Linked DNA regions of Xenopus tropicalis. The protein of the gene in region 6 purifies or fractionates together with the protein of the main gene of each other region. This does not show direct contact. Links are inferred from orthologs where the notes say so. Each region holds a gene or a part of one and is shown on either strand. Other genes may lie near its edges.

Region 1 (4,109 bases), on a different chromosome or scaffold from region 6:
GAGGGGTGGGTAGAGTTAAAGAAGTGAGCCTGAGGGGTGGGTAGAGTTAAAGAAGTGAGCCTGAGGGGTGGGTAGAGTTAGGAAAGTGAGCCTGAGGGGTGGTTGGAGTAAGGAAAGTGAGCCCAAGGGGTGGGTAGAGTTAGGGAAGTGAGTCTGAGGGGTGGGTAGAGTTAGGGAAGTGAGTCTGAGGGGTGGGTAGAGTTAGGGAAGTGAGCCTGAGGGGTGGGTAGAGTTAGGGAAGTGAGTCTGAGGGGTGGGTAGAGTTAGGGAAGTGAGTCTGAGGGGTGGGTAGAGTTAGGGAAGGGAGTCTGAGGGGTGGGTAGAGTTAGGGAAGGGAGTCTGATGGGTGGGTAGAGTTAGGGAAGTGAGTCTGATGGGTGGGTAGAGTTAGGGAAGTGAGTCTGAGGGGTGGGTAGAATTAGGGAAGTGAGTCTGAGGGGTGGGTAGAGTTAGGGAAGGGAGTCTGAGGGGTGGGTAGAGTTAGGGAAGTGAGTCTGAGGGGTGGGTAGAGTTAGGGAAGTGAGTCTGAGGGGTGGGTAGAGTTAGGGAAGTGAGTCTGAGGGGTGGGTAGAGTTAAGGAAGTGAGTCTGAGGGGTGGGTAGAGTTAGGGAAGTGAGTCTGAGGGGTGGGTAGAGTTAGGGAAGTGAGTCTGAGGGGTGGGTAGAGTTAGGAAAGTGAGCCTGAGGGGTGGGTAGAGTTAAAGAAGTGAGCCTGAGGGGTGGGTAGAGTTAAAGAAGTGAGCCTGAGGGGTGGGTAGAGTTAAAGAAGTGAGCCTGAGGTGTGGGTAGAGTTAAAGAAGTGAGCCTGAGGGGTGGGTAGAGTTAAAGAAGTGAGCCTGAGGGGTGGGTAGAGTTAAAGAAGTGAGCCTGAGGGGTGGGTAGAGTTAAAGAAGTGAGCCTGAGGTGTGGGTAGAGTTAAAGAAGTGAGCCTGAGGGGTGGGTAGAGTTAGGAAAGTGAGCCTGAGGGGTGGTTGGAGTAAGGTAAGTGAGCCCGAGGGGTGGGTAGAGTTAAAGAAGTGAGCCTGAGGGGTGGGTAGAGTTAAAGAAGTGAGCCTGAGGGGTGGGTAGAGTTAAAGAAGTGAGCCTGAGGGGTGGGTAGAGTTAGGAAAGTGAGCCTGAGGGGTGGTTGGAGTAAGGAAAGTGAGCCCAAGGGGTGGGTAGAGTTAGGGAAGTGAGTCTGAGGGGTGGGTAGAGTTAGGGAAGTGAGCCTGAGGGGTGGGTAGAATAAGAGAAATTAGCCTGAGAAGAGAGTAAGGAAAACACACATGGGTGAGACAAGTAACGCACGAGTTTGGGGGCAGAGAGATGTAGGTTCTGGGGGCAGCGAAAACACTAAGCCGGGCAACGCGATTATAATAAAATGCAAGAGTCGAATGAGTACAGAAAAACGTAGAATACTTGAGGATAAAGGTTTCAGGAGGATAAACATACACGGAACAAGAGAGCGTTAAAACGAATTGAAACTTGTGAGAAAAACAAATGTCTCCGTGCAATGAGGGGAGAGTTGCATGTATAAAGAAGGCAGAGGAAGGCAGAAAACACAAGCTAACAGAAAAGAGCTGTAGTATGGGGGCAGAAAGATTGGGAGAAGTTGAATGAGAAAGAAGAGACAGTCGATTATGAGGGGAGAGAAAGGTAGGAGAATGGGGAACTGTCAGCGCGCAGTTCCGCTCATTGCGTTTAACAGATTCACGTCAGACTGAATAGGAAGTAGTGCGGGGAGCACAGGGCGCTACTCACACCGCAGGAGAACAGGATAGGTTGACATCCTCCGGGGCATCAAAAAATTCCTCCGTGTCGCTGTCGGACGCCATGAGATAGGGGCAGGCGGTTTGGATCCGGCCTGCTCTTGGTACTGTTTGGGCTGAGAGGCCTCACTGGGCGCTGCTCCCCGGGGGCGCTGGCCGGCCCAGCATTCAGGCTACAGGCTCCTGCTGACAGGCCAAGGCAAGGGAATAGGAGGGCCAGCGTACTCACAAAAACACAGGCCAGTCTCGCGAGATTACACACTGACAGGGCGAGAGTGGGGAGGGGCTATCACAGCGCTGAGGCAATGGGAGAGTGATCGTTCAATCAGATGAGTAAGTTAAGCCAGTAAGGAAGGCATGTATAGTTACAGAAGTGAGTTTCCATATGGGGACAACGTCCTTCGTAGCGATAGCGGTCTGTTGTGCATAAGGTGTGACGGCTGCTCCTTCTCCTGGGTGGTAATAGTCGCTCCGTGTGGCGCCCTAGGCAGGGGCTGTACTTCTCTAGCTATTGGAGCGTTAGGGATCGCAGATCCCTAATTTAGAGTGACCAGATGACTTGAAAAATAAGTGACACGACTAATAAATACATGTTGCAGGGCAGCACTAATTGCATTTAAAATAAACTGCAATCGTTCACCCTGTTAGCTGAATTTTTAAGCGATCTGGTCACTCTACCCTTATTTACTCGGGCTAAAGTTAAGAGGCAGGAGGAGACACAGGTAAAGCTTTTCGAACAGGAGAAAGAAATGCTGCCCCCTTCCTTTGCACAAGACACTTATGATTCTCAGCGTTGCAGAACAAGTGCTCTCTGATTTAGCAGAGCTGAAATTCCAATATTAAAATCGGAATTTTTACTCTTAAAGTTACCAGGAGTGGCTTTTTGCCATCCCTGGTAACATGGGTTGCTGCCACCTGAGGTGTGTTTCTCACCTCATGGCAACAGCGCCCCTGGCCAGCAGTATATTCAGCTAGATATTGTATGCTGGCTAGATATAGGAAGTATGGAAGGATTTAATCTGGGTATGTGTGAAACTAATAAATGATATATTGACTGTAGAGTTGCCTCCTTTTTCTGTCAGTAATACCAGCCTTTGGGTTGTGATGTCATTTTGGGGTGGGACTATGATGTAAGGGGGCAGGTAAATGTAAGGCCTGGGTAGGGTTATAAGCAAAGCAAGGTGGCCCATGGTGATCGGCGGAGTGGGTCAAGGAAGAGAGTTAAAAATGACGCAAATGACATGGCACTCACAATGCCGTGTATAATGTTGTGTGCGCCGCATCAGATGCTGTACTTGCCCACTGTGCAGAGAACAAGTCTCACTGTTCCCTGGCATGGCAGAATGGCTACTGACAAGCTTAAAGGCTGACACTGTGAAGTAGGAAATGATAATGGGGCTCATAAGAGCATTCTGGTGGCTTATTCTAGTGCCTATAAGGAACACACTTTGGGTGTCACTGTCTTTCATCACCCTAAGATGGGACTGCCTAGTTGCAGGGAAACAAGCTCAGGTCTGCCACTGATTCTGTATTATGGTAAGTTGTATTATAATAATTACAATATAATAGCAACAGAAATAAAGTGCATAAAATAATCCCATTTACATTATATGTGTAATAATTATATACTATGCACTGACTAGTTTATTTTTTTTTTATTATGCGCCTGAAATGCACGTCCACCCCCACCAGTCCTTGGAAAAATTGTCTTGCTTGAAAGCGGTACTTGGTGCAAAAAAGGTTGGGGACCACTGATTTATAGGTCATTACAAATGTACTGGCAAGTAAATTTGTAATACCGGTGCTGGACCTAGCTGGTGATTTAACGGTGGGTGAGTTTGCCAAAGAGAGACGGTAGCCTGAAATTTGAGTTTGCTTATGTCACATAGTCCTCTAACCTGAACTTTACAAACATCTTAGACCCTTTCAGATTTTTTAAAAAGACTACATAAGTCTGAAAGGACAAGGACAATTCAATGGGGGTGGGGGCAATATGTAAGGACCCCCACCCCAGTAATTACAGTATAATCCTTAACCATGGATCCTGGGCCAGTGCTCTTCTTTACTAAAAAACTCACCAGCCAAAGTTACCATTCATAGCAACTAATTCTAAAAGGCAGAGAGTCGTGTTGATTTAAATACCCTTACACAGTAACCTGCAGTAAGAGCTTGGTCACCCCATATCGGTAACTTGCACCTAAACATTTGGTTACCCTGCTATTAAGTATTAAGTCATGCTCAAAATCCTCAGAATCAGCCAGAGCAGAAGGCATAATTGGGGAATGTGGTCTGGGGGGATCAGTGCAAAGTTGAGGTGGAACATGCACAGTCTAGGAACATTGCAATTTGGCAAATGTGCAGT
Region 2 (4,188 bases), on a different chromosome or scaffold from region 6:
AGGATGCAGAGTGTAGGCATAGGGTGCATGTGTAGGGAAAGGCAGTGAGTGGATGCAAAGATGAATAGTGCAGATAAGTTATAGCTCATATAAACACTAGCTGAAGTGAGATCAGTGAGCAGATGTGCAGAATGCAGAGTATATATAGAATATGTCCACAGAGAAGATGATTTCAAAAAAGCTAGTGAGTGGATGCTATAATGTATATATAGTATAGACTATACCAAGGTGGGCACCAACATACAAACCGAGCAAACTGAGAGCCTGAATAGCAAAACGAAATGGAGGAGATATATTGAGAGTGATAAACTGAAGCACAGGGTGGAGAAATGTGGGGACATACACAAGATGAAGGCAGGATGGAGGAAACTCAATAGAGCGCAGAGAATGGAAGTTGTTATCCCTGGGCATACAGTGCCGGGAAGGTATGACACTGAGACGGGATGCAAACACAAGTTTTGGCTGAGCAGGGTACAAGCAACAGACTAATGCCCAATATATGTGCTATTCAATAGTTAGTTTACACGTGTGGTGACTGTGGGATTGCAAATTAAAGGGATAGGGTAAATGGATGTTATAGAAGTAGGTGCCCAGAAGATGCTGGGATACAGAATATACAGCAGAGTGTAGAATGAGGTGTAGAAGGATGAGATTAGTCACCTGTAGAAAGGACGCCAAAGATGAGACGCTCAGTGCCGGCAGCTTGTGCATATGCGAATCACAAATTACCCCTCAAACTGTGCCCAACACAGATGGCTCAGCCTGATTGGTCAGAAGAGCCCTGAGGCAGCCAACCAGCGCAGACCACGTGCTGGGAGGGGTCACAGGTGTGGGAAAGTGAGAGAGGCAAAGGGAGGTGGGGAGATCTGCAAGTGATTGTAATAATATATTCCCTGCACGATAAAAATCGACTTAATTATGCCAAAGTAATTAATGAGCAGCTTACAACTGAGGAAGCAGAATAGATAACAACGCTGGAAACAGGCATTTTGCAGATGAAATAAAACGTCTTTATTAAAAGCTTTTCAAACTGTTTTAATACCGGCGAATGTAAAAGTACATTTGACACGTCTTTGTAAAGCATGTTTGTTACTGTATGGGCGAACTTTATTCCACTTTTCCGCAGTTTCAGGCTATGGCTCTATTGCTAGCTCTGCGCATCCAGTCTACAAGCTTTTCTATTCCCACACAGGCAGGGCAACAGGCGATACTGAAGCTTTGCTCTGGCTCAGCATCTTCAGGTTGCTCCTAGTAACGCTCTGTACCACTCTCTGACGCACGCCGCCACGCCCTGAGTACTTCCCAGCCTTCTTCGCTCTAAGCCCCGCCCTATCCAGTGACGTTGACGCATGACTCCGAACGTCGTGTTGTTATTTCCCTGTTCCAAGATGGCATCTATCATGGAAGGACCTTTGAGCAAATGGACAAACGTGATGAAAGGCTGGCAGTACCGTTGGTTTGTGTTGGATTACAACGCCGGGCTGCTCTCCTATTATACGGTGAGAGCCGCTTTGCATGTTTCACGTGCTCTCTGGTGCTCCTCTCTAAATGTCTACCAGAAGATCTCGGGTGGGGACCGCGGAGCCGCCTAGCCGCAGCCAATCCATGGGCTAGTAACCTAACAACAGCCAATTGGTGCCCGCGCTATCGCTAGCGCTTCTCCAATGGCCGCGCACATCCGCGCTGGAACAGCTGTAGCCGCTGGCGTGTAGTTGTCATGTCTTACGTGCTTGATAGGATGTGAGAGAAAGCTCACACAGTGCCAGCAGAGGGGCTTTACACATCATACATCTTGTTAGCTTGCCATTTATAATGCTGATTTTGTTTGTATTAAACTTATTGATTGTGTGTTATAAGAAGTGTGACGTGGCTGTTTAACCAGAATGTTATATATTACAACAGTACATTTTAGAACCTGTTGTAATCCCTGTTTTTGTAGTTTGAAAGTGTAAATATTTCTTAAGAATGATCTTTTATTCGCAGTTTTATTGTTCATTAGAGTCAACAGTAGGAAAAGTAAGCTCATATGTGTAAAATGTGCCTTGTGTTCAGTAGAATTATCTATTGTCCTTTAGGATATAGCATGGATATATAAAGCAGCATGTTATAGCGATTGTTCAATATCAGTTCCTGACCGTGCACAGCTTACAATCTAATTCATCTATGGGGTATAATTAGCAGGGTTGGTTTTACCAGAAGAAACTTCATACATCTAATTCATGTGTTACAGTGCAACCTAGATTCTTTATATTTGTGAAACCTTAGTTTTTAAGTTTTCCCAAATTTTACATTGTTTTCCTGTAGTCCCACCAGTTTATAATGCATAATGCATTTCCGTGATTCATTTCTGGTCGCCTGAAAAATGTAAAATGGGGGTTCCAATCTGTGTGTGTGTGTGCACACACACACATGCACATCAGAGCCAGGAAATAAATGTCAATTGTCTGGCTGAAAGTTTTTGTTGGAGTAAAAAAACAGATGAATTGGAATCTTGATAGTTTACTTACAGTCGGTGCTGAGTGAGTTAATGCAATACAATAGACTGTCTGTCAACAGAATGACCCTGCTGTAATAGTCTGCTTGCATTTTATATGAAGAGCTCTTTCTGAATCAGGGATCATTACTGAAATAGTTTTAAGTGGTGCTGGAACATTATGATTACCATAATGCTTGTGCCTAAATATACAGTAAGCTTAAAATATGAAAAAACATTTTTGATTGTTTTAAAAGACTAAGGGCTCTGGCACATGGGGAGATTAGTCGCCCGTGACTAATCTCCCCGAACTACAATCCCTCCATAAAATTTCGGCAAATTGGCAAAAATGCCTCGCGAGGCAACTTTGGCGATTTGCCGAAATTGCATGCGCAGCGTGTGCCATCCCACCGGCAACTTACATTTTCGCTGGTGGGATGGTAGTTCGGGGAGATTAGTCGCCCGCGAACAGGGAGATTTGTCGCGGGCGACTAATCTCCCCGTGTGCCAGAGCCCTAAAAAGTCTCTTTCCCATGTATATTGGTTTAGATTACCATTTGCTATACAACTTTCTAGTTGTCTAAATAATTATTTAAATGACACCACCTGGTATGTGCCAGCTTACTTTCCAGCTTTTTCTTGTATGTTTCACCCTCAGAAGAAATTGGCCTCAAGGTTAAGTGATCAGCCTTTGATGTGGGATCTCATGGTTGACACCCTGGTAGATGCCCTGGGGCAACTCCTTGTGACCCTGAATGCCTATAATGGCTGCATTGTATACTGTTGTGTAAAAAAATTTTTAAGTCCCACTGGAGAAAAGTGCTATATAAATGTTTCCATTATCTATTTTTTTCATCCCACAGCCTGAGGCTATTGTGAAGGTACATGCGGGACTTTTTTTTTTTTTTTTTAAAGAAAAGTGAATTTACAAGTGTTCAGTTCCCATATATCAATACAGAAAGCATCTTATCTTTAAGCAAGGATAATTTCACTATGCCATAATTAGGTTAAAACCTGCAGACCCATTTTGACATTTTGTTAGTTTTTAAGTGGTAAAAAAAAAAGGTGGAAAAATGACATGATTGCCATTATCCTAAGAATATACTAGTCAATTATTCAGCACCTCTCTTGTTACTTTGTAATCATTAACTCATAGCTGTGCACTGCTTGGTTTCAGAAAGTAGCAATAAGTTAGATTTTTTACCTCCTAGGGATGCAATACAGTATAATATTTTACTTCAAGACTTAAAGTAAATACTCTAGCAGCACAGCCATGCAAACATAAGCAATTGCATATATATATATATATATATATATATATATATATATATAATCTGTATCATTATTGATCTACTTAATTGTGATTAATGACCCAAAATAAGTATACAAATTATAAGCAAACATGGTAAACATGCAGTACTAAAGGTGTTCATACACGAGCCAATTCTAGCTGCCGATATCGGTCCCTTAGACCAATTCGGCAGCTTATTGGCCCGTGTATGGGCACTAATGACGGGCCTGCCCAACCAACATCTGGCCTGAAATCGGCCAGATCTCGATCGGGCAGGTTTGAAAATTAGTCTGATCAGGGACCACATGGGCTCGTTGATGTGGTCCCTGAACTGATGGACGCCTATACCCATCGTTCTAATTTCATTGTTTAACCTCAGGGCCAAATGACCAAATTAGCCTGATATCGCCCACCCTTAGGTGGG
Region 3 (4,079 bases), on a different chromosome or scaffold from region 6:
CTATTAAATGCCAGGGGGCAAGATATTAGACATACAGAGTATGTTTGGAGGAAGTTAGGGATTACATTATACAGTTCTTGGCAAACTGCTAACCAGTACAATGGATGTAGTATTTAAATAACGTCACAGTACTTAGACTAAGGATACACACCTAGGCACCTGCAACAAGCAAGCCAGGTATAGATTAGAGGGCCATGGGTGGGAAATGCAGCGGCTACTGCTAAGTTTTTTTTTTAACTGTCAGGCAAGTTTGGGAAGGCTAAGGAAGCTGCCATACTAAGTATCAAGTACTTGTCATCCTGCTGTGTGCCCTCCCATTGCATTGCAGCATGTCTCCCAGCACAACTGACAGCAAAGATTCTATTTGTGAGAGTGCATCAGGGTAGACTTACATCTAGTATAAATAAATTTAAAGCAACTGGACTTGTTTGGTAGACTTACAGTTTGTGCAGGTTCACAGGGGCCTTATGCAGCCATGGAAAAGCCATCAATCGCATTTGTGCAGTGACCACTCACATCCTATGAAGCCATGTTGTGTGTGCTCCCCAGCACATGAATGTAGCCGTCCCTGAATGAAGCCCACAGCATGAATTGTGTCCGCTCCCATAATAGTAGCGCTGTATGCGCTTCCATTCCAATGAAATTGTGCTAGCGCTCACACGTGGGCACAGGAGCATGGGGGGTGCGAGTGACATCTTTAAATCCATATACTCGAGTATAAGCCGAGGGTGACTTTTTCAACACATTTTTGGTGCTGAAAAACTCGGCTTATACTCGAGTATATACAGTAGCATATGCAGAATATACAGATCAGAAATATTCCAAATCAGAACATACACTTATATAATCACAACCAAACATGCACCAAATGTAGAATCCTACACCCAAACATGCACCAAATGTAGAATCCTACACCAAGTACTTGGCTAAATACTAATCCAAATCTACACTCTAATTTGCACATTCAAGTGTGAGGACAATATGATCAGTAAAAAAAAAAAAAAACCTTTCAGAATCCAAAAAGGAAAGAATCCAGCCTACCCATAAGCACTTCATCAATAAAGAGACTCAGAACACAAAAATTGGTTATCAACCACCGGTTTATTTTACAAAACTATGCTGTGAATCTTTTCAACAAACCTGATCCTCTGTATATACTGTGAAATCTTCAAAAAAAAGTTGCCCATTGCCTAAAAGTCACATGACTTCAATAATTAGAATTTGGTTGGGATAAGAACTAAGGATTCTGCCAAATCCCAATCCTGCAAGAAGTGCTAAAATGTGTCTGAATTTGCTGTATGCCAACAAATCAGATCCAGTGGGCGTACTAAATTAACGGCAACATTTAATATACGCCCATTTGTAGTACAGCACCGTGTAATATGTTGGTGTAATATAAATAAGTGTCAATACAAATGATATGCAATGGCAGCCACCCTGTCAATGGGAATAACATACAAATGTAAATAATAAAGTCTCTCATGCCAAAATAACCACTTCTAAGTGTATATTGTGCTGTTGAACTTGTCCCAAAAAGCAATATGGTCACTAAGCATGTCAAACAACCTCCCCTCTATATGTTTCACGATATGTATATGGAAGAATGTGATAACAATCCATTATAATATAAGCATTCAATCTACATTATTAGCATTTAGCCTCAGTATTATACAGTTGGTACAGCTGAGCAGTAGAATTCCAGCTCACAATGCATTCCATTTTCATATCAGATTACTAATAATTAAAGAGCAGCACATCCAGATTCTTTGTTACTAATTATCTAATTTCTCTGACCCCCAAACATTTCATATACAAAATATATATAAAAATGTACATTCATGCCAGTACATATAAGTGTATGAAGAAAAGAAAGGACGCTGAAAAATGCACTATATACAGAAATATGGCTTACCCTGCAGGTTTGCGATTCGTTATTGGAAAATCTGTTATCCAGGAAGCGTAGAATTACAGAGGAAAGGCTGTCTCCCTAGACTCCATTTTAATCAAATATTTTTAAAAATGATTTCCTTTTCCTCTGTAATAATAAGACAAAAGCTCATGCTTGATCATAACTAAGATATAATTAATCCCTGTTAGAGGACTTTAGACTAAAATATGATGATCCATATTAGGGAAAGAGCCCTTATCTGGTAAACTCCAGGTCCCAAACATTCTGGATAACAGGTCCCATACCTTTACAATGGAGGTCAATGTATTTGTTCTGGGGAATCAGACAATATCAAAGCCAACTTGACATTTGCTGAGCAAACACAAGCCAATATACAATAAGGGTGTAACATTGCCAGTGAGGCCAGCTCTCGCTAGAAGTGCTGCATGTTACCTGGGTCCCACCCCTGGGGTGTTGCAGGGCCTCAGGCTGGAGGTGCCATGGTCACTCTAGCTTTCTGTAAGCACCTGTCACTGTATAGCGAAGTCTGACAAGCTAGCTCTAACTGCTATTGTACTACACCTGTATTACTTCTGTGATAGCTACGAGGGGCTGCTGGGAGTTGTAGTCATTAAACAGCTGGTGAGCAACAGGTTGACAGTCTCCGCTGGACTCGCCAATCCCCCACGTCACACCGCCTCCCACTTACCATGTCGCCTTCCCCGGGGCCGCAGAGCTCGGCGGTGCAGCTCATGGCCGGTCCCAGCTCAGCCGCCAGCTGCTCAGGTAATGTCACCGTGCGTGTGAGACCCCTTCAGGGCGGGATCCCCCAGGTTATACCGGTTTGAGGAAGCACCGAGATACACATAAACACTGTAACCTCCTCCCCCTCCCTGGATCCGCCTTCCCGACTCACACCGCGGCCAGCAGCGAGAGGAGTAAGAAAGCTCTGCGCAAGCGGCAGCGGAAGTGCACCGCAAATGAGGGCGGAAAAGCTCACTGTCAATTCCGATCGTTAGAATGTGTGTGCCAGGTTATACGTAACCTCCTCTAGGGTCAGTACGTCAAAATCGGAACGGGCACAATCTACCAATGTAATTAGGAAGCAGACTTCACATTCAATGTAGTTCATACTTTCTGTGAAGCTGCTAGTTGCTGGACTACAAGTCCCACCGTGCCCCGATATTCATACTGCCGCAGCAATTTGTAGTTAAACATACGACCTATTACACTATAAAAGCCCTTGTGAGTTAGGCCACATAGAGCAGCTGCGGCCTGTATAATGTACAGCAGGCTGGGTGACGTGACATAAGCCGCTTACACGCGATAAATGTGTACAAAGGTGACGCATGCTAGTCATTCTTTGACGTCACTTCCTGTGCGTGTATTGGCATTCCGGCCTTGCACCGGAAGTGTCGTCATCCCTAAGCAGCTGTGATGGCGAAGGCTGGAGAGTGGAGACGCTGGAACTGGTAATGGAGTTGGTTCGGAAGCTGTGTTTGCGGAGCGGCCTGGAGAGTAGTTACGATGCGGTGAGGGCTAATTTCTCATTCAGTTCATAAGTACCGGTTGTCATTAAGCGGCAACTTCCGGGATGTTGGAGGAGGCGGGTTGTAGCCCAGCTACAGGTTAAACATCTCGGTTACCGACAACTTGCCCGGTGGTGTCTGTCCAACCTGAATTGCTCTCTGTACTTCCCACTGCGTATCATATTATTACATACACACTTGATTCCAGGCTAAATGTAGCAGAGCAAGCAGGGCTGGCCGTGGCCCTTAGTTAACTGTGTGACCCCTGAGTATGTGTTAGGGCTGTCTGGCAAGCAGGCCAACCTTGAGATAAATGGCACTTCACCCTTTATTGCAGTGTTCTGGGACAAGTTACTTAGCATTGATTTGGTCTTCATCCTTTACATTTGTGTTTGTTCTGCATCGCTTGGTCTTGAAATTAAAAACTGCTGGTTGCTAGAGCTTATTACCCAAGCAATGATGTAGTAACTATGTAGTTACAATGGAACAGAAATAATGGAGGGACTGCAGGGAAAAGAAAGAAATACAACGCTGGTTTCAGTCCATTTTTCTTTTTTATTTAATGGGCTCAGCGACCTAAACAGCCAAAACATTAAAAAGTAGTTCAAAATTGCTTACATTTGGACTATTACCGTATATACTCGAGTATAAGCCGATCCGAA
Region 4 (3,500 bases), on a different chromosome or scaffold from region 6:
GGATTCAAATTAATTCTTTCGTGGGGCCAGCAACATCTTGTTACACCACTGCATACACACACAGCTTGCATGTACATAAAATTGGTCAAACGCTTGATGTCGACCTTGCTGCCTAATCATCTGTGCATATATAGCTGTGTCAACAGATGGTTAGATCTGCTGGATTTATTTGGCCCTTCATGGATTAATGGCCTGGTTGCCACCTGCACAGCCACCTGAGGCTTTTTAATCTTTACAGTCCTTTCCAAAAAAGCAGTGCAGCAAATGTAAAGATGTCCTTTTTTTCAAAACCATCAAATATTTGAAACAACTGCTTACATTTTGCAGTAGGTTGCTATGCTGGTGCAATATTTTAAGTATGTAAGTTACCCCTAGGTGTAAATATTTAAGCTGCCTGTTTTGCTTTAGTTTGAGTCAATAATCAGAAAGTACATTTTTGTTAAACCGGTAGCATGCTGCGTTCCTCACTTGAAAAAAGTCACTTCTTGCTTTGCTGAGAAATTACTTACTGGTACGTTTCATGGTAATATTTATCACTATATTGTACTGTCTTTAATGACTTTTTAGTAACTGCCAAATTGTTTTGAAAAGCATTTGAAAATGTTATGTTTAATAAAACACAATCTCATCTATATACAAATTTAAAATGTGTTTGTGCTATAATAATATTTTCTGTGTTGATCGAGCAGATCGGTGTTGTGCTTTAAGCCAGTGCAAGAAAAAAAATATGAAATGAGTGAAGGTGTTAGCTTTGAAGACGTCATTAAAAATGATGGCCTGCTGCTGAATATGAAGTGCCAGTCTGCTACATCTAAAAAGGATTCCCTCAAGCTAAACATTGTGCCTGTAAAGGACATTGTCATGTCATCTGATCACACCAATGAAGGGTGGCATTTGCCATATGTTGTTCATTTATGGCCAACTGTAGTTCTTCGTAACTTGCTGCCTTATCAGATTAAGTTCTCATTGCAGGTAAATTGCAACTTTGCAGAATAATCTTTGGCTAGTTTGAAAAAACCTTTTGAAAATCACAGTATGCATATCATGTATACAATAACCATGACAATTTTCATTCTAAAATTGAGTTCAAAGAGCAGCACCTCGCTATGTATGCAGTGCTGCCTGTGTTCTGAGGAATTGCATTTTGAAGGGGCCGGTGGTAAGCATCCCTTGAAATGTCACTGCAGTAGGCATCCTAGGGAGTCTCAGGGGCGACAAGGTGCAAGAGTACCCTGTATTTACTGTGAGCATGTAGCATACCTTGTATCATTTGTCTTATTTTTAAACCATTCACAGTGTAGTGTGCAAAGACCATTGCCCCAGCTACAAGTGCTATATGCATGGAACCTAAAGGGTTCAATAAATAGTAATTGTATTGTAAATGGAACCAAGAAAATTTGGTTTTTATTTTATATTTTGACCACATTGTTTCTGGCTCACTTTCTCCTCACACCTGATCTGGTTGGCAGAAGTGGTTTCTTAGTTACCCCTGAGCTCTGGGCCCATTCTGCTCATTCTTGACTTCTGCTGAGGTTAGTAGCTATAGGTTTTTTTTGTAGGTTGCTGCTAGTTGTGTGCACTTGGCCCTTCTTTACGACTGAAGAAATTGTAAATCCACTATGTGATTTTGGCTTATGTAATTAAGCCCAACACAGCCTGCTGTTGTCTGCCATACATACTGTTGACCAGTGATCCCCAACCAGTGGCTCCTGAGCAACATGTTGCTCCCCAACCCCTTGGATGTTGCTCTCAGTGCCCCCAAACCAGGGAGTTATTTCTAAATTCCTGACTTGGGGGCAAGTTTTGGTTGGATAAAAACCAGACATACTGCCAAACAGAACCTTCTGTAGGCTTCTAGTCCATATAGAGGCTACCAAATAGCCAATAACAGCCCTTATTTGGCACCCACAGGAACATGTTTTATGCTTGTGTTGCTCCCCAAATCTTTTTACATTTGAATGTGGCTCACAAGTAAAAAAAGGTTGGGGATCCCTGCTGTTGACCAATACACAGAAACACGTTTTATCCTTTGTAAGATTTACAAAAACATTAATTTGCTTTTCTCTCCTAGGGTGTTGATGTTGATGCAACTTTAGTAGATGATGGCTGCAGTACCCAGATTCATAATGCAGCCTTAGACAACACCAAGTTGAAGTTACAATTGCTGAATTATACTGACCAGGGCTGGACAGCAGAATACCATATCCAAAGCAAGCAACAGGACATCCACTTTATAAACTTCCGCTGTGTAGCAGAACTAGACAAGTCAGAACTGGATATTGCTGTCCATGTGACATACACTACAGGTCAAACAATTATTGCCTTACATAGTCCATATTGGATGGTAAATAAAACTGGGAGGATGCTGCAGTACAAAGCTGATGACATTCACAGAAAACATCCAGCTGATCACAAAAAACCACTGCTTTTTTCATTTAAGCCAAAGAACTTTTTACAGAATAACAAGGTATGGGACATTCTTTATATTAAAAATATGGAATTCACTTAGGGAAGTGGTGCACAGGGAGATTAGTCCCCTGTGGTTAAATCTCGGCTACCACAGGCGACTAATCTATAAATGCCTTCCCAACGGCAATAAAGTGAATCACTGATGGGATGGCATAAGTTCTCCAAAGACATATTCATCTGACAGCTGCAATAAATACAGTTAACTTCACTAAACAAGATCCAAGCAAGACTAGTACTAGTTACTAAACATAAAGCAAGGGGCAGAACTGACCATATTCTGAGCCATAACACATCAGTAGAAGTGGAAAAAAGAAAAATGCTGTTTTTATCAACATTTAAGAGACTTATGGATGAATCAGATGTAGACAGACAGATAGGGGCTTTGTGCTGCTCCTGCCAGGAGGCAAGAAGCGGCCAGTTACCAGGGTTTGCTCCCACCCCGCCCCAACACCACCCCCCCCCCCAACCCCCTGGGGGCGATGGCAGACTCAGAATCGGCACTGTTTGTACTTTGTTACTGATGTCTTTGAATAGGTCTTTCTGACATACTCCAAGCATTTAGTTGTGTGTTCTGTTACTCATCTGCAAACATTGTAGCACTAAATAATTTGTGTTAATTCAGGTTGGCAGTACAGTGTCTCATTGCTGGAAAAAGTGTTTTAAATGAAAATAGCACCTGTGACTGTGCACATAGGAGATTGGTGTACAGACTTTCAGTGATGTTGTTTAAAAGCTGCATGAAAGCTATGTATCTGGCTTGACTCCAATTTATGGCAGGACCGCTCATTTCTAAAAGGAAATAATTGGACATAGTAACTGAGTAGGCCATTGACCCAGCCATGTCTTTCTGGGATTGTTTCCTATGTTTCATTTTAATTATTAACATATTCCCACGTAGTGTGTTCGGACATAAGTTGTTAAGTCTTTAACCTGAAAAATAGCTACCATATATGCCTGTATAGGAAGATATGCATATTATTTCTAATCTAAGGTTGTCTACACAGTGGTAAGTACTGCTATCTCGCAACACT
Region 5 (4,148 bases), on a different chromosome or scaffold from region 6:
AGCATTTGTCCTGTTTACTCAGACTCCTGCAGCAAACCTGTCAGCAGAATAAGCCAATCATTGAGAGAGGAACTCGTGCCTCACCCGCTGGTGCCGAGGAGACGGTTAAACAGTAACAGAATTACAGCAAAGGGCACAGTCTCTGCCCCTTACGGCTCCCGGGGCCACAATACACTTGGCATTAAAGGGAAAGTTCACTTTTTAGATAACTTACAGAATGACCTATTCTAAGCAACTTTTCAATTGGTCTTCATTATTTCTTTTTGAGTCATTTTTGAATTATTTGCCTTCTGACTTCTTTCCACCTTTCAAATGGGGGTCACTGACCCCAGCAGCCAAACCCTATTGCTCTGTGAGGCTACAATTGTATTGTTACTGCTTATTCCTTATCTTTCTATTCAGCCCCGTATTCATATACCTGTCTCTCATTCAAACCACTGCCTGGTTGCTAAGGTAGTTTAGATCCTAGCAACCAGATAGCTACTGAAAATCCAAACGGGAGAGCTGCTGGACAAACAAAAGTGCAATAACTAAAAAAAGAACTACAAATGAAAAATGAAGACCAATTGCAAGTTGTCTGGGAACATCACTCTCTACATCATACTATAGGTGAACAGCCCCTTTAATGTTCAGGCCCTGATCAAACATATGCCTGAGGGGTAGTCGGGACACGGATCTGCCGGCCAGCCCTGACAAGCTCACAGTTATTCTGTTTGTATTATATTGTTTTCACCCCATAATAAACATACACCATAAGCTGCTCAGCGGCTGATCCTTATTCCCTATCACTGATACGGCGGCAGCTTATTAACTAGCACAAGAAATGGTTAATTACCCACGTGCCCCAGCCCTTCCCCTCCCACACACGGGACCATCAGGCACTGCCCGGAATCAAACCAGTTACCCACGTGCAGTGATGCAGCAATGCCGCCCCCTGTGCCAGTCTGTAGAACCGACTCTATTCTGACTCTACTGTCTCTATTTCCCATTCTCAGGCTGGCCACGCCCCTATGCACAGATGTGTTGCACCCACTACACCTGAACTACAGCTCCCAGAATCCCCAGCTAACACCCCCCCTATAACTGTGCCAGACTGGGCTACACAGGAGTGTGTATGGGAGGGGAGCTGCTATAGAAATGCCCCAGGGCAAGTTGCAGTGAGTTGCATCACAAAGCCTGTCCCACGGGGGGTTAATTACTGCACCAGGGAGCCCTCACGCTGCTTCTCTTCCGGCCCCCCGCTCCCCCTGCCCCAGGGGCAGTTCCATTCCTACTGTGGGGGGTAATAGCAATACAAGGTACAAGCCCTTAACTGAGGGAGGTGGGAGTGCCCTCCAGCACAGCATATGGCTATACCCACCCCCAGTAATACCCACCCCCAGTAATACCCCCAGTACCCGCTATACCCACTCCCAGTAATACCCCGGTACCTGCTATACCCACCCCCAGTAATACCCCCAGTACCCGCTATACCCACCCCCAGTAATACCGCCGGTGCCCGCTATACCCCCGGTACCCGCTATCCACCCCCAGTAATACCCCGGTCCCTATACCCACCCCCAGTAATACCCCGGTGCCCGCTAATACCCACCCCAGTAATACCCCCGGTGCCCGCATAACCCCCCCAAGTAATACCCCGGTGCCCGCTATACCCACCCCCAGTAATACCCCCGGTACCCGCTATACCCACCCCCAGTAATACCCCACCCGTATACCCCCCAGTAATACCCCGTACCCCGCTATACACCCCAGTAATACCTACCCGCTATACCCACCCCCAGTAACCCCGGTACCCGCTATACCCACCCCCAGTAATACCCCGGTACCCGCAGTAATACCCACCCCAGTAATACCCCCGTACCCGCTATACCACCCCAGTAATACCCCCCCGCAGTAATACCCCCAGTACCCGCTATACCCACCCCCAGTAATACCCCCGGTACCCCTATACCCACCCCAGTACCCGCTATACCCACCCCCAGTAATACCCCCGGTGCCCGCTATACCCACCCCCAGTAATACCCCGGTACCCGCTATACCCACCCCCAGTAATACCCGGTACCTGCTATAACCACCCCCAGTAATACCCCCCGGTACCTGCTATACCCACCCCAGTAATACCCACCCCCAGTAATACCCCCGGTATAACCCACCCCAGTAATACCCCGGTACCCGCTATACCACCCCCAGTAATACCCCCGGTACCCGCTATACCCACCCCCAGTAATACCCCCGGTACCCGCTATACCCACCCCCAGTAATACCCCCGGTACCCGCTATACCCACCCCCAGTAATACCCCCGGTACCGCTATACCCACCCCCAGTAATACCCCCGGTACCTGCTATACCCACCCCCAGTAATACCCCCAGCTGCCTGGCTGTTAGTGCAGGGAGTGTGGGATAAAATGGGGCTGACAGAGCCCCCCCTGGAGCCCCCATATTACCAGTACTGCCAGGCTTTGCTGCCCCCGGCTGCCCTGCTGGAGGGCCGGTGAGTGAGGGGGCTGGGGGAGGCGTCGGGCCGGCTCTCGCTGTCAGACACCTTCATGGTGGGCACTTCCCCCTGCATGTTGGGGCCCCCCGGCCGCTGTCACTCAGTGTCCGTCACACAGGTGCGCTCATGGGCTCCGGTCCCAGTAACGGGGGGTCTGGGGGTCTCTGAGCCGTACGCTGGGGGCGCCACCCCGGTTACAGAGAGCGGGGTATGGGGGCGGCTAGTGGGGGTCTGTCAGTCCGGGCATTGCGGCCCTCCCGCTCCGCGTCTCATACTCCCGGGCCGCGGTGTGAATGTCCAGCCGGTTATACGTCTCTCCCCTCCGCCCCTGCCGGTGCGCCAGCCCCGCCTCACTGGGCTCATCTCGCGAGATTACGGTCACAGCGACGGCTCGGCGCGCTGACGTAAGCACGTAACCGCATGTGGGAGGGGCACGCCGACGCCCAGCGTATAGCGTCACACGCCTGTATGTTGTTGCTTAGCAACAGTGGGGCGGCTCCTACTTGTATTTACCCGGTTATGCAAAACAAAACTTTGTGCGGAGCAACGCCAACACTTGTTTTCATAAAAATCTTTCTTTATCCAATCTTTTTAAAAAAGCATGTTGTGCTTATACAGAAAAAGACCATACACTTGACGCGTTTCGTGGTATTTTCCTTCTGGAAAGGCCTTAAGGCTCCTCCCACAATCAGTTAACCCTTACAACGCATCTATTAACCAATATATATTAGTTAAAAGCAACAATAAGAATTGCAAAACATCACAGTATTACTTGGGACGTATCAAACATCTCTCAGCCATTGGGAAATACTAGATATAAACGGCAATAGGGGAGAAACATAAATAATATCAATAATATCAATATTCTAAAGCCACACGTATGTAGCCAAATATCAATAGAAACAGGTTAATTCCCACTCTCTGTTCATACCTCCCAATGTCTCTATAGTACCCAACTGATAAATCCAAAATGCTTCCCTACGTAATAATCTATTCTCAAAATCACCTTTCCTTATATTGAGGCCACATGTATCTATAATTTGAAAATGAAAGTCCATATTACCCTCATGTTTCTCAATACAATGTTTAGCTATAGCCGATTTAACATCCCCTCTCCCAATGGCCGACAGATGTTCCAAGATACGTTCACATACTTTTCAGATCATTTTTCCTATATATTGAGCTCCACATTTACATGTAATCAAGTACCGTATATACTCGAGTATAAGCCGAGTTTTCCAGCACTCAAAATGTGCTAAAAAAGGAACCCTCGGCTTATACTCGAGGCAAGTACCAAAATACCTATCCAACCGGGCAATTCATCCTCTCCAGGCATCGGGCACGCACCGGCCAGCCGTCGCATCCAGCCATCAGATTTATACTGGCCATCCGTCTCATCCAGCCTTCCCAGCCATCTCCAGCCATTGGGCGCACACTGGGCAGCCGTCGCATCCAGCCATCAGGTTTATACCGTCCATCCGTTACATCCAGCCATCAGGTTTATACCGTCCATCCGTCGCATCCAGCCTTCCCCAGCCATGGGCATGCACTGGCCAGCCGTCACATCCAGCCATCGGGAGCTGTTGCGCAAGCACCCCCCCCCCCCACTTGACATGCGACGCGGCGTGCGTGACGGCTCCCGATGGCTGGATG
Region 6 (3,933 bases):
CCTACAATTGTCCGGCCTCCCTTGGTGGTTTCCTCACCGTTACAAAGTACCGAATACCCCCCCCACCCCACCCCGAGCCCCCAGTGTCACTAACGCACAGAGTGGGCGCAGGGTCCCCTACCCACACACACTGTGCCAACACTGCCCAATCAGCAGTCAGAAGGAATGCAGCCAATGGGAGGGGGGCACAGACAGGACTTTATGTATCACTGCCCCCAGTATATGCGCCCCATTACACCCTATATATACCCCCTGTATATTGGATACAGCATCGGGGCTGTGCACCCTGCACCCTACTGGCACTACGGGGGCATAAATGGATCAGGACTGGGGAGCACAGCAGGGCCCCAGGGAACCCCCATATAATTAGGGGGCACTACTCCTCTTTGTTATCAGGGAGCTCTCTGCCCTTTACCCACATACCAAACTGACAGTTATAATAGGGACCCCCTACCTTCAGCCCTGTATCCCAGCAACCCCTTGCACTCATGGTTACAAGACCTCCCTCAGGCAGGTTCTGAAATGGGATGTACCCCAGCGCCCCCCACTGGCCCTGCACCCCAGCGTCCCCCACTGGCCCTGCCCCCCAGCGCCCCCCACTGGCCCTGCCCCCCAGCGTCCCCCACTGGCCCTGCACCCCAGCGTCCCCCACTGGCCCTGTAATCCAGCGTCCCCCACTGGCCCTGCACCCCAGCGCCCCCCACTGGCCCTGCACCCCAGCGCCCCCCACTGGCCCTGCACCCCCCACTGGCCCTGCCCCCCAGCGGCCCCCACTGGCCCTGCCCCCCAGCGGCCCCCACTGGCCCTGCCCCCCAGCGGCCCCCACTGGCCCTGCCCCCCAGCGGCCCCCACTGGCCCTGCCCCCCAGCGGCCCCCACTGGCCCTGCCCCCCAGCGGCCCCCACTGGCCCTGCCCTCCAGCGGCCCCCACTGGCCCTGCCCCCCAGCGGCCCCCACTGGCCCTGCACCCCAGCGGCCCCCACTGGCCCTGCACCCCAGCGGCCCCCACTGGCCCTGCACCCCAGCATCCCCCATTCCAGGATTACAACTCATGCAGCCCAGCAGTACCCCCAAGCCGTACATTCCAGGATTATATCCCATGTAGCCCAGTAGTACCCCCAACCCATACATTCCAGGATTATAACCCATGTAGCCTAGCAGTACCCCCAACCCATACATTCCAGGATTATAACCCATGTAGCCCAGCAGTACCCCCAACCCATACATTCCAGGATTATAACCCATGTAGCCCAGTAGTACCCCCAACCCCTACATTCCAGGATTATAACCCATGTAGCCCAGTAGTACCCCCAACCCATACATTCCAGGATTATAACCCATGTAGCCTAGCAGTACCCCCAACCCATACATTCCAGGATTATAACCCATGTAGCCCAGTAGTACCCCCAACCCCTACATTCCAGGATTATAACCCATGTAGCCCAGTAGTACCCCCAACCCATACATTCCAGGATTATAACCCATGTAGCCTAGCAGTACCCCCAACCCATACATTCCAGGATTATAACCCATGCAGCCCAGCAGTACCCCCAACCCCTACATTCCAGGATTATAACCCATGTAGCCCAGTAGTACCCCCAACCCATACATTCCAGGATTATAACCCATGTAGCCTAGCAGTACCCCCAACCCATACATTCCAGGATTATAACCCATGTAGCCCAGTAGTACCCCCAACCCCTACATTCCAGGATTATAACCCATGTAGCCCAGTAGTACCCCCAACCCATACATTCCAGGATTATAACCCATGTAGCCCAGCAGTACCCCCAACCCATACATTACAGGATTATAACCCATGTAGCCCAGCAGTACCCCCAACCCCTACATTACAGGATTGTAGCCCAGCAGTACCCCCAACCCATACATTACAGGATTATAACCCATGTAGCCCAGCAGTACCCCCAACCCCTACATTACAGGATTGTAGCCCAGCAGTACCCCCAACCCATACATTACAGGATTATAACCCATGTAGCCCAGCAGTACCCCCAACCCATACATTACAGGATTATAACCCATGTAGCCCAGTAGTACCCCCAACCCCTACATTACAGGATTGTATCCCAGCAGTACCCCCAACCCCTACATTACAGGATTGTAGCCCAGCAGTACCCCCAACCCATACATTACAGGATTATAACCCATGTAGCCCAGCAGTACCCCCAACCCCTACATTAGAGGATTGTATCCCAGCAGTACCCCCAAGCCGTACATTAGAGGATTGTATCCCAGCAGTACCCCCAAGCCGTACATTAGAGGATTGTAGCCCAGCAGTACCCCCAACCCCTACATTACAGGATTGTAGCCCAGCAGTACCCCCAACCCATACATTACAGGATTATAACCCATGTAGCCCAGTAGTACCCCCAACCCCTACATTACAGGATTGTATCCCAGCAGTACCCCCAACCCCTACATTACAGGATTGTAGCCCAGCAGTACCCCCAACCCATACATTACAGGATTATAACCCATGTAGCCCAGCAGTACCCCCAAGCCGTACATTAGAGGATTGTATCCCAGCAGTACCCCCAAGCCGTACATTAGAGGATTGTATCCCAGCAGTACCCCCAAGCCGTACATTGCAGGATTAATGTGAGTGCCCCAGAGCCCCCGGTACCTCGGAACTTGAGCTCATGCTGGGGCTCCAGCTGAAGGATCTGCTCCACCTTGGCCATGTCTCCCGTGTGGGCTGGGGGTCCGGGCCTGTCCCGGCGGCGGTGGCGGCTGCAGGAGCGGGTGATGCAGCAAAGCGGCGGAGGGCGGAGGCTGCTGTGACGTCACGGCCCCTGCAAGGCCCGGGGGTGAGCGGCGCGCAGGCGCAAGGGCTGGGGGCGGGGCCGCGGCTGCGCACTGGGGCTCAAGGGCCAACATGGCGGCGCCTGGGGGGGAGGGGCAAGTTAGCGCTGGCAGCGTATGTGCGGGACCCCGTATCCGCCCTGTGTAATGTCACATAGATATCCGGGAATATAAACCCGCGGGATCTCCCCTTATTGGTACCGGGTTGTCCCGCCCCTCCTGCCGGTACCGCTCTCTCCCGCCGCCGGTACCGCTCTCTCCCGCCGCCGGTACCGCTCTCTCCCGCCGCCCGTACCGCTCTCTCCCGCCGCCGGTACCGCTCTCTCTCCCACCGGTACCGCTCTCTCTCACCGCCGGTACCGCTCTCTCTCCCACCGGTACCGCTCTCTCCCGCCGCCCGTACCGCTCTCTCCCGCCGCCGGTACCGCTCTCTCCCACCGCCGGTACCGCTCTCTCCCGCCGCCGGTACCGCTCTCTCTCCCACCGGTACCGCTCTCTCTCACCGCCGGTACCGCTCTCTCTCCCACCGGTACCGCTCTCTCCCGCCGCCCGTACCGCTCTCTCCCGCCGCCGGTACCGCTCTCTCCCACCGCCGGTACCGCTCTCTCCCGCCGCCGGTACCGCTCTCTCCCGCCGCCGGTACCGCTCTCTCCCGCCGCCGGTACCGCTCTCTCCCACCGCCGGTACCGCTCTCTCCCACCGCCGGTACCGCTCTCTCTCACCGCCGGTACCGCTCTCTCCCACCGCCGGTACCGCTCTCTCCCACCTCCGGTACCGCTCTCTCTCACCGCCCGTACCGCTCTCTCCCACCGCCGGTACCGCTCTCTCCCGCCGCCGGTACCGCTCTCTCTCACCGCCCGTACCGCTCTCTCCCACCGCCGGTACCGCTCTCTCCCACCGCCGGTACCGCTCTCTCTCACCGCCGGTACCGCTCTCTCCCACCGCCGGTACCGCTCTCTCCCACCGCCGGTACCGCTCTCTCTCACCGCCCGTACCGCTCTCTCTCACCGCCCGTACCGCTCTCTCTCACCGCCCGTACCGCTCTCTCTCACCGCCCGTACCGCTCTCTCTCACCGCCCGTACCGCTCTCTCTCACCGCCCGTACCGCTCT
Region 7 (3,056 bases), on a different chromosome or scaffold from region 6:
CACTGTCAGTGCAAATACGGAGGCAGGCCACCAGGCAACTTTATTACTGGCCCTCATCATTTGTGGTGCCTGTGCCTGTCTCAAAAAGGGCATGGCTAGCTCAGTAGTGTTTTGGCAACCTATGCTAGTGTTCTGGAGGACAAGCAGCAGCATCTTAACTACTAATGTAATGACACTCGTCTATTTGGTGTAACTGGCATGACTTTTCCCCTTATATATGGGAAAGAAGCATGGGTGTGCCCTTTAAGGGCAATATCACACTGAACATGCATGATCAACAGCCTCGAAAGACTGATTGTAAAAAGATGTGATTATGCTAAATGCACCTACCAAACTCCCTCTGCTGCTTGACTGCAGTACAGATGGGTTTGCCATGAACTCACCCATGTAACGAACAATAACAGGTTGAAAATATATAACAATAAAAAAAGCAAGAAAACAATGTGCCTTAACTCAAAGACAAATAAATACATCTCTCAGTTTTTTCTTCACTTCTTGTAGAAATTGCTAAATACTTTTATATCCTATCACCACATATCTGTACATTTGGTATCTTAATGTGGATCATGAGTTGGGGAGGCTGGAGTGTGTTGGCAGCAGACTGTGCACATGCGTGTGTTCCCAAAGTAGGGTAAGGAACTGCAGGCAGAGATCCCTTAAAATCTGCTGTGATTCCATGGACCAAGTCGAATAATCTCTGGATTTAACCCTTATCTGTAGGAAGCATTGCCTTATCTACGGATAAAAAAACCAAATACAGCATTAGGATATTCTTGTAATTCAACACAATGGTGTTAATGTAAAACTAATGTAAAGTTCACAAATGAGGTATTACACGACACTCAACAAATCATATCCACCTGGTAATCACTTAAGGAAAATCGCCACTTTCCAAATTCAACTGAATACAGCAAAATCCAGGGCACTCAGGATATTTTTCTTCTTCTTTGTATCAAAAATGCAGTACAGACTGACGTTTCAGGGTCACATAGTACCCATTTCTCAATGTCAAACACAAAATGAACAGTTGGTTGGGGTGGTGGGTTAATCAGACTTTTATGGACTTTAGGTAGACTGTAAATCACAGCATCACACAAATCAATAGAAAATCTTTTTCACCCTCCATCACCCAACCAGTTGAAATTCACAATGGACCAGATTCTTAATCTCTTTCTTAAATTTAGAAACAGGGTTAAAAGACAATTGGGGTCATTTATAAACACCGGACAAACCTGAACCTGGGAAGTTAGGCAACCAATCAGATATTTGATTTTACTGTTCTACTTGCAGCTCCTTTAAAAAAAGCTAATCACTGATTGGTTGCTATGGGTTACTGCCAAGGTGCAAATTTGCCCACTGTTTAAAAAAGCCCCAGTAAATGATAGATGAACAATCTACTAATAACTCCAACATCCTTTTCCTGTAATGACAGTAGTTTAGAACATCAATGCCCTCACCCTTATTTGCAGGCTTCACAATGACAATACAGGTAATGGCAGTTACTACAGAAAGAGTGCTTTTGGATTTACACTCTTAATACTTCTAAATCCTTTGGCTGCTTTCTGGAGGATCGTTGATAATGGTCTTGAATGGGTTAAAGATTTTGCTATCCAGCATGTGGTTTGGTGGTGGTGAATTTTTTATGTGCGAATCATTTGGTCTTTGAGAAAGGGGTACTCTGTGATCCCAAAACATCAGTCTGTACCACTATCAGACTGGGTGTCCAGGGCCTGCTAGGGCTGTAACCCCATGGTCCCCCCCCCCAGATGTAAAGTCAGCCGGCCTCCACCTGCCAGGGCCTTGGTTGGCGGGGCCCGCTGAGTTTTTTCCCGGCCCAGTTCAACCCTAGTCTGAACTATCTTTTTGATAAAAGAAAAATATCCTGAGTGCCCTGGACTTTGCTGTGTTCAGCTACACTTTAAAATATAAAGGTCAACCATTAGCACAAAACCTTGTATTAAAAGCTTTGTAATACAATTCACCTGGGAGCATACAGAGGGTAAGTGATTGGCTTTGTTTTTATAGTGCAGTGTTTGTACTTAGAATACCCAATATGGTATTTTCCTCTGCTATCTTCCTTTCTGAGCACAAGACTCAATACCACAAGAGGATCCATAATTTCACTGTCTTGTCTGTTTTGATTGGATTTGGAACAGACTTAGAATCAACAACCCTTTTAATATAATCTATTGCTGAAGGAGTAACTTTTTTAATGTTTAATTTCTTAATTTACTGCTAACAGACAACCCACACAGAGATTTTTAATTGCTTAATCATGCCTGAAATTAGCTTACATAATAAAGGGAACACACATTAGTCACTGTTCCGTACTATAATTGAACTAAAAAAACTGCCCTGCAATCCAGAGAAAATATGTCTATTACTTTATACTGTGCTAGTGCTAATACAATGATGAGATTAGGCCAGTTGTAATAAAAGATGAGAGGACTGAACAGGATCATCAGTAAAAAGAAAATAGAAGAGAGCTGGAATTCAAGCTGATAGGTAAAGCTCATACATGCAGCACATAAATGCAAAGCAAGCAGAGCCCGATTCATGGATGTAATTGTAATCTTCCGGTCTGCATGCCTTAAACTGCCCGGGGAATATAGGAGCATCTAATCTACAGAAGATTAACAATGCTTCATCAGAGAAGACACTTGCTAATTGTGTGCATGCTAAAATCCGAGAAGGCAATAAAAAACTGTTGGCGTATACCTGGATCTTCCTCCAAGACCCCTGAAGTAGCCACTCTGTTTCGATATGTGTTATAAAACTCTTCAAGCCCCTGCAAACAGACACATAACAAAAAATAAACAAATATACTAGATTTAATGAGATAAACATAAAAAATAGAGATTTCATATTTTAATATGAATCATAACCTCATGAATAGTTTTGCACACTGGAAAACTGGAACAAAGGATTTTTTTTTTTTTTTTTTTATAAAAAATGCTTTTCATCAGTTCATGGTTAATTCCAGTGAAGATACCTTCCAAAACCAGAAGAAAATACAGAATGATATTTCAATTGGCATAAATTGATTGTAACATAAA

The links.
Region 1: the proteins of vapb (region 6) and wdr44 purify together in Homo sapiens (affinity purification with mass spectrometry; 4 studies listed by BioGRID and IntAct, counting the BioPlex papers as one, with this or other methods). This does not show direct contact. The link is inferred for Xenopus tropicalis from reciprocal best matches to the Homo sapiens genes VAPB and WDR44.
Region 2: the proteins of vapb (region 6) and osbpl9 purify together in Homo sapiens (affinity purification with mass spectrometry; 7 studies listed by BioGRID and IntAct, counting the BioPlex papers as one, with this or other methods). This does not show direct contact. The link is inferred for Xenopus tropicalis from reciprocal best matches to the Homo sapiens genes VAPB and OSBPL9.
Region 3: the proteins of vapb (region 6) and aftph purify together in Homo sapiens (affinity purification with mass spectrometry; 3 studies listed by BioGRID and IntAct, counting the BioPlex papers as one, with this or other methods). This does not show direct contact. The link is inferred for Xenopus tropicalis from reciprocal best matches to the Homo sapiens genes VAPB and AFTPH.
Region 4: the proteins of vapb (region 6) and vps13a purify together in Homo sapiens (affinity purification with mass spectrometry; 3 studies listed by BioGRID and IntAct, counting the BioPlex papers as one, with this or other methods). This does not show direct contact. The link is inferred for Xenopus tropicalis from reciprocal best matches to the Homo sapiens genes VAPB and VPS13A.
Region 5: the proteins of vapb (region 6) and osbpl11 purify together in Homo sapiens (affinity purification with mass spectrometry; 4 studies listed by BioGRID and IntAct, counting the BioPlex papers as one, with this or other methods). This does not show direct contact. The link is inferred for Xenopus tropicalis from reciprocal best matches to the Homo sapiens genes VAPB and OSBPL11.
Region 7: the proteins of vapb (region 6) and arhgef12 purify together in Homo sapiens (affinity purification with mass spectrometry; 3 studies listed by BioGRID and IntAct, counting the BioPlex papers as one, with this or other methods). This does not show direct contact. The link is inferred for Xenopus tropicalis from reciprocal best matches to the Homo sapiens genes VAPB and ARHGEF12.

What each region holds. Positions count from the first base shown.
Region 1 is NC_030684.2:67,117,381-67,121,489, reverse strand, and holds the start of wdr44 (WD repeat-containing protein 44), read right to left. Parts: upstream 2,801-4,109; 5' UTR 1,814-2,800; coding exon 1,740-1,813; intron 1-1,739. UniProt on the Homo sapiens protein: Downstream effector for Rab11 which regulates Rab11 intracellular membrane trafficking functions such as endocytic recycling, intracellular ciliogenesis and protein export.
Region 2 is NC_030680.2:96,347,303-96,351,490, forward strand, and holds the start of osbpl9 (oxysterol-binding protein-related protein 9), read left to right. Parts: upstream 1-1,388; coding exon 1,389-1,499; intron 1,500-4,188. UniProt on the Homo sapiens protein: Interacts with OSBPL11 to function as lipid transfer proteins.
Region 3 is NC_030681.2:32,370,400-32,374,478, forward strand, and holds the start of aftph (aftiphilin), read right to left. Parts: upstream 2,801-4,079; 5' UTR 2,598-2,800; intron 1-2,597. UniProt on the Homo sapiens protein: Component of clathrin-coated vesicles.
Region 4 is NC_030677.2:132,297,208-132,300,707, forward strand, and holds part of vps13a (vacuolar protein sorting-associated protein 13A), read left to right. Parts: intron 1-689; coding exon 690-972; intron 973-2,071; coding exon 2,072-2,467; intron 2,468-3,500. UniProt on the Homo sapiens protein: Mediates the transfer of lipids between membranes at organelle contact sites. Binds phospholipids. Required for the formation or stabilization of ER-mitochondria contact sites which enable transfer of lipids between the ER and mitochondria.
Region 5 is NC_030685.2:89,894,435-89,898,582, forward strand, and holds the start of osbpl11 (oxysterol-binding protein-related protein 11), read right to left. Parts: upstream 2,801-4,148; 5' UTR 2,571-2,800; coding exon 2,446-2,570; intron 1-2,445. UniProt on the Homo sapiens protein: Plays a role in regulating ADIPOQ and FABP4 levels in differentiating adipocytes and is also involved in regulation of adipocyte triglyceride storage. Weakly binds 25-hydroxycholesterol. Interacts with OSBPL9 to function as lipid transfer proteins.
Region 6 is NC_030686.2:2,710,585-2,714,517, reverse strand, and holds the start of vapb (vesicle-associated membrane protein-associated protein B/C), read right to left. Parts: upstream 2,801-3,933; 5' UTR 2,702-2,800; coding exon 2,644-2,701; intron 1-2,643. UniProt on the Homo sapiens protein: Endoplasmic reticulum (ER)-anchored protein that mediates the formation of contact sites between the ER and endosomes via interaction with FFAT motif-containing proteins such as STARD3 or WDR44.
Region 7 is NC_030683.2:78,817,228-78,820,283, forward strand, and holds the end of arhgef12 (rho guanine nucleotide exchange factor 12), read right to left. Parts: intron 2,789-3,056; coding exon 2,719-2,788; intron 736-2,718; coding exon 704-735; 3' UTR 501-703; downstream 1-500. UniProt on the Homo sapiens protein: May play a role in the regulation of RhoA GTPase by guanine nucleotide-binding alpha-12 (GNA12) and alpha-13 (GNA13). Acts as guanine nucleotide exchange factor (GEF) for RhoA GTPase and may act as GTPase-activating protein (GAP) for GNA12 and GNA13.